Kluyveromyces lactis: one gene and its partner. The protein of the gene in region 2 interacts with the protein of the main gene of each other region in a biochemical or structural test. Links are inferred from orthologs where the notes say so. Each region holds a gene or a part of one and is shown on either strand. Other genes may lie near its edges.

What was found. The genes of interacting proteins can lie anywhere in the genome.
Region 1: the proteins of ATS1 (region 2) and KTI11 are reported together in a solved structure, tested with the Saccharomyces cerevisiae proteins (2 studies listed by BioGRID, with this or other methods). The link is inferred for Kluyveromyces lactis from reciprocal best matches to the Saccharomyces cerevisiae genes ATS1 and KTI11.

Annotation. Positions count from the first base shown.
Region 1 is NC_006041.1:1,813,938-1,819,017, forward strand, and holds KTI11 (Kti11p), read right to left. Parts: upstream 3,753-5,080; coding exon 3,504-3,752; downstream 1-3,503. Other genes in the region: KLLA0_E20373g (ribose-phosphate diphosphokinase), read right to left, coding at 1-11; E2 ubiquitin-conjugating protein UBC6, read left to right, coding at 681-1,436; KLLA0_E20417g (uncharacterized protein), read right to left, coding at 1,759-3,045; RPS8A (40S ribosomal protein eS8), read left to right, coding at 5,041-5,080. UniProt on the Saccharomyces cerevisiae protein: Required for the first step of diphthamide biosynthesis, a post-translational modification of histidine which occurs in elongation factor 2.
Region 2 is NC_006042.1:1,471,440-1,478,039, reverse strand, and holds ATS1 (Ats1p), read left to right. Parts: upstream 1-4,577; coding exon 4,578-5,627; downstream 5,628-6,600. Other genes in the region: ATP-dependent RNA helicase DBP5, read right to left, coding at 1-927; STD1 (Std1p), read right to left, coding at 1,326-2,699.

The DNA of each region.
Region 1 (5,080 bases), on a different chromosome or scaffold from region 2:
CTCGTTTCCATACAGTATGTATATGGTAGATATTACGTTCCAAAAAACCGAAACCAGAGCACCAGATGCAACCAAATATGGAAATTGGATATGGCAACAGCAACTGTCTAAACGATATAGTTGATTATTTCGGACTTTGGTCCTTATCTACAAGTTAATTACTTTCTTGATGTGATTTTCGACTCATTCAAATTTGTATCTTTTCATGATAAAAAACTCTGTTTAAAGCTTTTCATTCTTCCATTAGATATTCCGTACATAATACTATAAGGTGACATGACATAATGATATTTGGCAGAAACAAAGACTAGACAGCAGTAGTTGGCAGCAAATACTGTCATTTCAGCGAACATAGTAAATTAGGTCGTAATACTTTCAGCTGTTAGGCTTTTCCTCGTGGTGAGTACCCCAGATTTTCCCCTTTTTATAGAGAATCCACTGACATTTGAATCGAATTTTTTATGTATTTAAGAAACTTTTATTTAACTTTAAGGTTTTTTGTATCTTCTGCCAAAATGAGAGAAAGAATGCTTTTGTATTGCAATGTTGAAGGATCTAGGAAGGTCAAGAACAGTATATTGTCCGCTGCGAAAGACTTACACAAGTGTTTCCTGTTTTGAAGTTCCAATCTATCGCTCGTTACCATCCCAGTATCTCATATTTGCGTGTTAAAAGGTACGATGGCAAGTATACAGGCTAACAAAAGGTTGACTAAGGAATACAAGAACATTGTTAACAACCCTCCTCCATTCATTATTGCAGCACCACATGAAGATAACATATTAGAATGGCATTACGTGATTACCGGTCCACCTAGCACTCCGTATGAGAATGGTCAATATCATGGAACGTTAACTTTCCCTTCAGACTACCCATTTAATCCACCGGCGATTCGCATGATTACGCCTAACGGCAGATTCAAGGAAAATACTAGACTATGTCTTTCGATGAGTGATTATCATCCAGAGGCGTGGAACCCAGCATGGTCTGTAGTGACTATATTGAATGGCCTTTTAAGTTTCATGACAGGTGATGAACAGACAACGGGGTCGGTGTCAACCTCTGATAAGGATAAAAGGACTCTGGCTAAGAAATCGAAACATTTTAATACTTATAGCAATTTCAAATTCAAGAATATGTTCCCTGATTTAAGAGAGTCGAATATTAAGGACATAGAGAGGGAGGCTGCTTTGGAAGCGGAATCCAAAGGAGCACAACAAGAGGAAAATAAAGCACAGAAACTAGCCACGGAGAAAGCAACTTCACTAGACGACATTTCGGATCCTGAGGATCGAGTAAGAATTCAAGAGCTTATAAAGGCCGAGAAGGATAAGAAAGATCAGGATAAAAATCCTGGCGAGAATAGCAACATCAAATCGCTGCTTTGTCTGATCTTGGCTATTGCGATTTTTTTCGTCGGTTTAATAATGAAATGAGTTCATCAAATATGTTAGCATCTTCTAGGCTCTAAGTGTTGTACAGTATAGTATTATTGATATTATGTTTCCAACTATGGCCACAACAGCGGTTCATATGATCTCGTCACCTGAGATTTCAACAATTTAAGACGGCGTTACATAAAAAATATATAAATAGTCAATTCATAAGAGACAATTAGAACAAAAAAACATACAAAATTAAAAATATCACAATGATTATAAGCCGTAGCCATATCATTGGTCATTTTTGTCGTTCAACATCTTTTCATAAATTCATTTCGCAAGATATTAGCACATATTCATAAGTGCAGCTTAAAGTTCAAAACTTCTCTACCTTTAAAACAACTTTACCATGTGCACGGCCTGTCTGCAGATAGGAAAATGCCTTTTGATGTTCTTTCCAATCATATACCCTATCTACAGGAATAAACTTGACAACTTCACTTTCTATTAGCTCATGACATTTTTTTGGCCATTCATTTGTCGCTAATTTGGCATTTGGATCAAAATAAAACATTTGATAATCGAAAGACCATAGCACCTGTCCGAACAGCTTTCTAATATTAGAACTTGCAGTACCCCATGAATTAAAAGTATCTTTCTTGTAATTCGATTTATTATCGCCAACGGTTGTGATGTAAGTAGCATCTTTGGACAAAATGGAAGAAGAGTGACCGATAATGTCATACCCTCCAATAAAGTCAAGAACTAAATTGAAGCTACCCTGGCCAAATGGTTGAGTTATAAAATTTCCAGTTTCATTGTTATATTCAACCAATTCATTGCTTGCCACTAGATCGCTTAATGGTTTGTAGATTTTACCGTTCGTTGCTGCATAGTCGATGAAGAGCAATTCATCGACTAGTTCAGGCAAATTTGACTTAATGAAGTTCATACCGGAGGTAGATGAGATTAACACGATTCTGTTCAATATCCTGTAATGAAACTTTAAGAGTTGTAGTGCAAATATTCCGGTCATTGTAGAGGCACCATTGATCAATATATTGCTGCTTTGATTTAATTTCCCCTCTTGATCAAGCTTGTCAAGGATATTGAATGCGGCTCCAAGACAGTAAAAAGTAGATGCCGCTTGTTGAGTACTGATGTTTACTGGCTTAGGTAAAACAACGTCAACCTTTGGATCAACCAAAATGGTAGATTCACAAGTTCCTTTACCTAAATTTGGATGCCAAAAAGTACCGCAAACTTCATCACCGACACTCCACGTATCTGCCAAATTTGAGCCTACTTCTGAGATTTTTCCATAATACTCTCTTCCAATGCCAACTTCATAGTTCATATGCCTAGTGTAACTATTGAATATCTTTAAATCAACTGGGTTTAAACCGACATATTCCACTTGCACGGAAATGACATCTTTAGATATTGGAGTCTTTATCTTTGTTTCATAGGAGAACTGAGGAGGATGATTTTTGGAATAGAATATTAGCGATTTAACCGGCACATAATGGATATGTCTTAGCGGCCTAGCGACTCTTTTCATCTCTAAAGGGGAAGCCAATTCCCTAGGGTTTGGTGAATCATGATTATATTTCACCACATATGCCAACTTCGGATCGTGTTTATTTAACAATTCTTCCGCCATGGTAAAAGAGTTACAGCAGTATGAATTTATCCAGAAAGGCTTGAAGTGGTAAGCATCCTTGTGTTAAGGGTCATGGTAGCGGAAGTCTGTGTAAACTCCGTTCTAATTCTTTTAATTGACGCTTTTTTTAAATGAAATTTAGTTTAATACGAGAAACAATAGATAATACAGAAAATGCTTAAAACAGAGAACATATATACGATCCGGGGTATATAGTACGGACTTGTGAACGATATGCATGATGTGGTAAGAACTGAATTTAATGACTGTCCAGTGCGGATGGAAGTGTGATAGTGGAGCTTGCCAGAGGATTGATAAATCATCCCTAGAATGAAATTATATACAGTGCGGTGCTTGAAGAGTGGTGAGAAAACCATAAACAAACTAAAAGAACACACTCTGTATAACCATGCAAAACTAATGCAGATAAATGACGAGGGTGATGCTGCAAAAATATTTTACACAGCTACAGCAATTTTACCCGGTGGTTCCAGATTTGCTTCCACATAATATTCCACCAAGTCTTCCTTGTCGAAAACCACCTGGATCATCAACGAACAACTGGGACAAACTGCAATGTCTTCTCCGTCATACATATCATCAATGGAAATTTGGAACCTGTCACCACAGGGACAAGGATACGTAAATATCTGTGTATCTGGGTCGAAAGTCATATCCTCAATCTCAACCTCATCGTAAGTGGACATTGTTCTAATACTATTAATAATTAATTCTTTCTCTTTAAGTTAACTTCTAGTAGTCACTTCTCTCTTCAATATGCCAGCACCAGGTTGACCAAAAGTTTATTCCAATTCCGTACCCTTAGGTTAGAGAATATTGAATGCACTGGGTATGAAGACATAGGTATTAAACATAATGCGATGAGCGTAATGATTGACTCAATTGTCATTTCATGTCAAAAGTTTCAGTTTTTCTTTTTAACTTGTTGAGAAAACCGGGAAAAGAAGGACTGGTTCTTTTGAAGAAGTCACGTGATATTTCGGGACTATCACAACCCAGACATATATTTTACACCCATACATAATTCAATTTCATTTATTTTCACTAATACCTAAAAAGGTAATAAGTATTTTTAAAACAGACAAATACCATAATGGTTAGCCAGGCCGTCCCAAGCCACTCACTACCGGTGTAAACCCCCTCTGGCCTCAGAATGCTCTGGCCCACACCACTCATTCAGTTTCTGGCTGCCGTCGATATCCCTGCCCGTCTGCCCAGAGAGCAACATTCCATCTACCACCTAGGCAGAATCTTTCCCCAGGAGTCTCTCCTCCAGCTCACCTTTGGCCATTCTCACGCTTTCTCTGTCCCTTTCTCTGGGCGAGCTGGTTCCCTCTGGCAGTCCAATACTCGGCAGTGTGGTCCATTTTGTCGAAAGAACAACTTTGATTTCCATCTAGTGAAAAGTTACAAAATTGTTGTATACTGTTATATACTGTTACCTTCTATAGTTATTGTATTGGATAGTTCTTGAAATACAAGAAGAGGTCAAGAAGCCAGGTCAAATAGTATGTTTTATACGTGGGTACTATTGTGCTTTGTGGAGTAACCAGCGGATGCAATACAATGAGAGAACAGTGCGATTACATGTTTAGATATATTTGAAAGAGTTTTGAATTGATGGAATGAATTAGAAAATGTTTTAGATCACTGAGGGTGAATGACAGTTACCAAGGAATAATCAGTGGGAAGTCCGTTATGGTGTAGCAAAAAACTAGCGAACTGAGGAGATTCATACGAGTAAAGAAGCGGCTTTCTAATATCGAAGGTGGGAAGTACGGGATAGTATACAACCAAGAAGGCGAAATTATTTGTGAAGTAATTAACTCAAAGAGAAAACATCGTTGGTGGCATCTGAAGTTATCTTATATAACTACTCTGTGAAAGTACAAGCAAAAGCTAATTAACGGCAATCAAACGAAAGAAAAATTTACTAACATCTTTTACTAAAGCTTTTATCTACAGTAAAGCAAAATGGGTATTTCTCGTGATTCTCGTCACAAAAGAGCTGCTA
Region 2 (6,600 bases):
AGATAATATTGTGTATTTGTGTTCTTCGTTGTCACAGTCCATGAACAATTGTTTGATGGCACTAACGTTGACCTCATTCTTTTGTAATTCTAAAGAAACTGCAGTTGGGATGATCTTCTTGGCATATTGACGTACCCCGTCATCAAAAGTGGCAGAGAACAACACTAATTGACATGTCTTGGGTAAAAATTTCTTCACACGGATACATTGATCACCTAGACCTTGTTTGTCTAACATATTATCTGCTTCATCCAACACGAAGACTTTGATTGATCCCAAGTTTAACATTTTTCTACGAATCAAATCGAGAACTGTACCAGGTGTACCGACAACTATGTTTGCAGTTATCGGCTTATTTCTTTCGAATGAATCCGGAACCACTAATTGTGAAGAAGTCTTAGTAAATTTACCCATTTCTTGGATAACTTCTAAAGTTTGTCTAGCCAATTCTCTCGCTGGTGATAGACAGATGGCCTGTGTTGAATTGACATTTGGATCTACACGAGTCAACATTGTCAATGAAAATGCTGCCGTCTTACCCGTACCAGATTGTGATTGTGCAATCATGTTATGTGGAGGATCTCTAATCAATAATGGTAAAGCTTTCTCTTGAATCTTAGATGGCTTTTGGAACTTCATTGCATACAACCCTTTCAAAAGCTCCTCAGATAGACCAAGCTCTTCAAAAGACTTTACACTATACAATGGTGAGTTTGCATCTGCCTGCAAATCGGCAAGATTAACCTTCACTTCGTATTCAGAGTTAATAACCTTGTTTGCTGGTTCTTCAGCTTTAGTCTCTTTAGCATCTTCCTTCTCAACCTTAGTTTCAGATGTTGTGTCATTGTCCTCAGATGCCTTTTTTGCAGGTTCTTTGATGTTCAAACGAGCCATCAAATCACTGGCTTCTTTGCTTAGCTGTGCCATCTTGAAGTGATTTTTTGGTTTCACCGATGGGTATGCAGTGTCACAAATTAGCAAAGACAACTTCAATAGCTTACCTCTGCTATTCTATGTCTTTAATACTTCTGTAGTTTTCAATTTCTGCAGCTTTGTAAATTTTAAACCAACGAAAGATGGAGGAAATATAGTTACCCTACCTGGTGAATAATACTAGTTACAATCGAACTAAACGAATAAATATTTATATACTGTTAATATGTGATGTAATAACTGCACTTAAGGCAGTACTGTGCAAGATATGGTCATAAATTTAGCTTGGTACGCAGTTGAAGGGATAGCATTAAAAAAAAAAAAAAAAAAATATATATATATATATGTTCATTAGAATGAGAAAGTTTTCCGTAATTGTAATTTCCAATTGATCATGACTGGATTCTGTTTGCACTGACATTGTCAGGTGTCCAATCTAAACCTAGTCTTTGGTACACTTGCAGTTGGCAATGGGACCAGACCATTGACTTTTCGTCTTTTGTTAAAGACACTTTCGTAGGTACTTCGACTAATGGCACAGGAGCTTGTTGTTGTTGCTGTTGCAAAGCCTGTTGCTGTTCAAGTTCCAATTGTTCCTCGATCTTGATTTGAGAGTTTCTTAGTAGTGCCCTTCTGAGCAGCGAATTCTTAGACTTCTTCGGTATTATTGATGGAGGTGGCATATTAGGTTTCTTTACAGTATTTTGCTGCTGAAGAATCATGTTTTGTTGGAGAGCTTGTTGTTTCAGTTGATCTAACTTCCATTTTTTGTACTCAGAACAAGCCTTCTTGAAATCAAATCTACATTGTGCCTCAACTACAATGTTAAGTAAGTAGTTCTCTATAATGTTTCTCCATTCAGGCTTCGATAGTTGCATGACTGGTTCGTGATGGCCTATTAGCTCTTCGTGTCTTTTCCTAGCTGAATTGACTGTATATTTGGCACTGGTTAGCTTAAACTCGTAGTCAAGATTAGCTTCGATATAAAGATCAGAACTTACCAACGTCGATATGATGAATTCATCTGGGGAATTCAGTGGTAATAACTGGAACCTGAACTCAGGAATAGATGGTTCCGTACCATTGTTACCCTGCAGTTGATTGAATGCTATGGTAGGAAGTTTCCCGTTCCATTCGGGCCTCAAGGACTCTATTATGAGTAACGACCTTATATCATTAATATCCCAATCTAAAAGTTCTCTCTTAGTAAAGTTCGGCCTTCCGTTGCTCATCAAATTTTGAGGATTCATCAAAATATCTGGGCTGTACATGTCGTAGAATATTGTTGGTAAAGCTTGCTCTAGTGTAAGTGTCAAAGGTTTCGAGTCCTGTTGATCTATCACAGATGACGCATCAGTAAGTTGCGTAGAAATTGTATTGAAAGAGGGTGACGAGAAAATCGAGGAACCTGTCCCTGATGACATCGTCAGCCCAGTAATAATGGACGCCGCATCCGATCCATAATCTTGTCTTGAAGATGATGCATTACTGCGGTATGAATGTAATGACCTGGCGCCACCAGTTGATCCTGAACGTTTCTGTAATAGCCGTCTCTTAATCTCATCACGAGCTCTATTGGCAAACTCTGGAGGGGCATTGACAAAATCCTTCTTTCCATTGTTACTAAGCATGGGTTGATCCTGTGGTAGACTATGCGAACTGCTACTCTTACCTTCTGGTATCGTAGCTAGGTCATTGGTTTTCCTTTTTGCGAGTACCCCAGGTAATAGATTTGTGGCCGATGTGGGCGGAGGTGAGACAAACATCTTTGTAGGAGAATATTTGTGTATATCTCGATGCCGTTTCGATTTAGTGCAAATGAATTTTTACGGCCGGTTTTTGATTCACTTTTTTGTTCCTCTTGTAAATTGTTTTCGTTAAATATGTGGCTCTGTTAACCAGCCAGAGTTTCGACCAACCTGGTAAGCCACTTTATGGGATTTTGGTGCTTTTATCAGAAAAAATATACGATAAAGGAGATCGGTTTCGAGCTTGTTCTTACTTTTTCTCTTTTTAAACGTCTGATAATCTCCGTCTCTTTGAAAGTGTTCTTTTTAAAGGAAAAATGGATATATCTAGAAAATTGAAAAATTCTGAGCCCGGAAAAAATTTGTGTCTGTATTCTACGTGGATAATCGGAAGAAAGACCGACGCACAAATGGTGATTTGAAAAAAGGTTGCTGTTTGAAGTGATACCTAACACAGGTAATACGATGACAGTTTGATACAGAACAATATATGGTAGGAATTTGGTATGTTGTATTCTTAAGTAAATTTTTGGGAATCATACGTATGGCTTGGTTAAAAGAGGGAGCCAAGTATAATATTATGCATACTTATATATATGTCAGAAGTGAAATCCACTCTGTATAGTGTGAATGGGAAAAAACCCGAGGCTGGAAACGGCGGAGAATAAACAATACACAGTGAAATACGGTCAATAAAAACGGCAGATATGTCGGGACAAAGAGCGTACGAACTTCAATTGTATGGCAATAGGCCTAGGGGGACATCTCCAGTTGTATTTTTACTTTGGGTTTGTTGCCGAACATGAATAGTTAACGAACGAATTTACTTACATAACACTTGAGACGTGAGTTTGGCATACGCACTCTACCGGGGATACTACATGAATTGAAGCCAGGGATTGCTCTGGAAACAACCTGCTGGATATTCTTCCGAGCTCTGACTATAGCTTTTGAGTGATACCCTCAGCTCATCATCCAACTGCGGATTATGCCATGTTCTGCCTTTTCTGTACGCAACATTTTTCCAGCTTCGGTAAAACTATTGGTCAATTCGCACTGGTCGGTAAATACCTTGCTTCCTTTTTTTTTTTTTTTTTTGGAGACATTCCTTAGGGAGAAAATATTATTCCAAATGAACTTTTTCAGATGTGGGGAGACATCCTTTTGCACTGAAAGGGTGTAGGAAACTGAGATATTTTTCCGGAAGACTACGTGAAAAGCTCCGGTGGCCCAGATTTTTTTTTATTGTATTTTCTTTTTGGTTGTGTTGTTCAACGAATTCGTCTACGTAAGAATAGGGTTGATATCCTTTGTGGACCGCATATGCAATAATTTAAGCATCTGTACACCGCAATGAGTTTTGGCCAGAACATTGTTCCGGGCCCGTTGTGCCCAACGATTCCTTGAATCTTGGGCATTACAAGGAGCCACGTTACAAATTTTTCCGCATGTCTCCCACTTTACTACGAAAAAAGTTGCTTCGGTCGGCCCCATAGATGCGAAGGTCGAGAATAAGATATGATGGTAGGGGAAGTGGGTCTATATTCAAGGTAAAGATTCCCAAAAATTATGAAGGGTTTATCCGGACGACATTTTTCCGAACGTGTTAACAGTTTTTTGGAGAAAACAGAGAGCCCCGGGCGTGATCAGGTGTGATGTGCTCCGGGCTGCTTATGTTTTTTGTCACATGACTGACAGGAATTATTTACCAGATAGAAACCGGAAATCTGTCAGCCAACTGCATTTAGCCTTTTCTACTACTCGTTGCATATCAAATGTGCATCAGCTGTAAACGAATGTGGTGTTTTGGTATGTCATGACACTTGCAACTACCTGACACAGCCATACCGACTCAAATCGGCGTGCTCATTCGTAATATTGTGTTTCTCTTGACATATGGCAAGTTACGAATTACTATGTTTTGGTTCCAATGGGAATGGCCAATTGGGTGTAGGACACGATGAGGACTTGATGCTGCCTCAATTGAGCTTTCAAAGTGATGGTGTTGGTATTAAAAAAGTGTCATGTGGGGGCAACCATTCGCTACTATTATTAGAAGATGGGTCGTTGTATTGGTGTGGCGATAACTCTTCTGGTCAATGCGCTTCCAGTGACATTAAAATAAGTCTCGAATGGATCCCTATTCCAGGGAAATTTCTCGATATTGCATGTGGTTGGGAAGTTACTATAGTTATTGATGAGGATGGCTGGGTTAAAACCCGTGGAAGGGGTGATAAAGGCGAATTAGGGGTACCTAGGTTGAAACACAGTACAGAATGGATTGATCTGTTCCGATGTGAAGATCCAAAAGGCTCCCGATGTTATGCAACTTTCCAGCATTGCGTAGTGGTTGTTCCGGAGAAGATATACGGATGGGGCAATAATAGGAAGCTACAAGTGTGTGACGACTCAGCCTTGAAAATCATTGAGGAACCAAAGGTGATTTATGAGGGGGATACGTCTGATATCGAGATGGCTTTAGGAAAGGACTTTACCTGTGTACTTTCCAGAACTGAAAATAAATTAATTATAAAAGGGTCATTAGCAAAAGAACTTCCCGAATTGATATCACAGTTGTCGCATGATTTCGGATCAATTGCCAAGATTGACTCTATGTGGTCCTCGTTACACATTCTTACTGGTGAACGAAAGCTTATATCCATTGGACGAGGTTCTCATGGCCAGTTTTTGGAAGAACCTCTGCCTTCAGAAACTCTGGATTTTGTTACTGGTAGTGAGCATGGGGTAGTAACTACTGCTGACATGAAAGTATATTGTTGGGGCTGGGGAGAGCACGGTAATTGTGGGTCTTTATTCAAGACAGAGACAAATCCGATCAATGACAAGAGTAACGTTATCAGCCCCCTTAATATGATAGGAAAATACGAAAAAGTTGTTAGCATCTTCGGAGGATGTGCGACCACATGGTTAGTGTTGGTTACGTGAGCACCGATTATTTTCTCTTAGCAAAGAGAAGAACGCTCTCTAATGTATATATGCATCTATGTAACAAAATGTTAAGAAGTACCTTTCCCATATTCATGTTGAAAATATAAAATATACAACCATGGCAATTAATGAAAATACCAGGCGGCTCACATGGAAAATATGTATAGACTTCTTGATTATTGATGTCTAGAGACTCGTATCACCCAAACAACTAGAAATCAAAGTAAAAATCACACTTTCCTATTCGAAAACAACAGAGAAAGATAAATCAATACGATGATTAGTAGCCCAGTTTCTTTAAAAGTCCCTTGCAAGAACCCAGATAATCACTTATCCAAGTTCTTACTGATCTTTTTAGAAGAAAAATAATAAACGATACAACTGTTAATAACGAGTTATCATATTGTAAGTATGTTGTGTGCGATGAACTTTCAGATACTTTTCGTTTTTTTTATTTTAAAACGTTCAATTTTTCTTTTTATACATAAGTCCTTCACAAGAAATAGGGCCTTAGTAACTGTAAATGGTTTATTTACTGCAATTAACTGGGTATTGCTCGTAATATTAGAGCACCTATTATAACTATCGCAAATCAGGAATCTCTTGTACTGTTTTATTGTTATGCTATCTTGCTATATCCGTGAACAATAGTAACCCGCGTATCGTTACACGAATAAATTAAGTCCGGGTAATAGTACAACTGTTGATAATCCTCGCCATAATCAGATATGTGGTCCGGGTAATATAATAAAACGATCAAAATGACGAAAGCTCAGAGTAGAGCGTATCGAGACCAGAGTGGCAACAGCTGTCACTTCTTCAGTAACAAGCAAGCTCTAACCCCCGATAGTTACAGAAACTGGAATATTCTCAACAACATAGAAAAGAACATTGGCATTTAAAGATCAGAGCTACACCAATTGTGCATCTACCTGTGCCCCGGTTCTTTATTTACCACTCACTAATATTG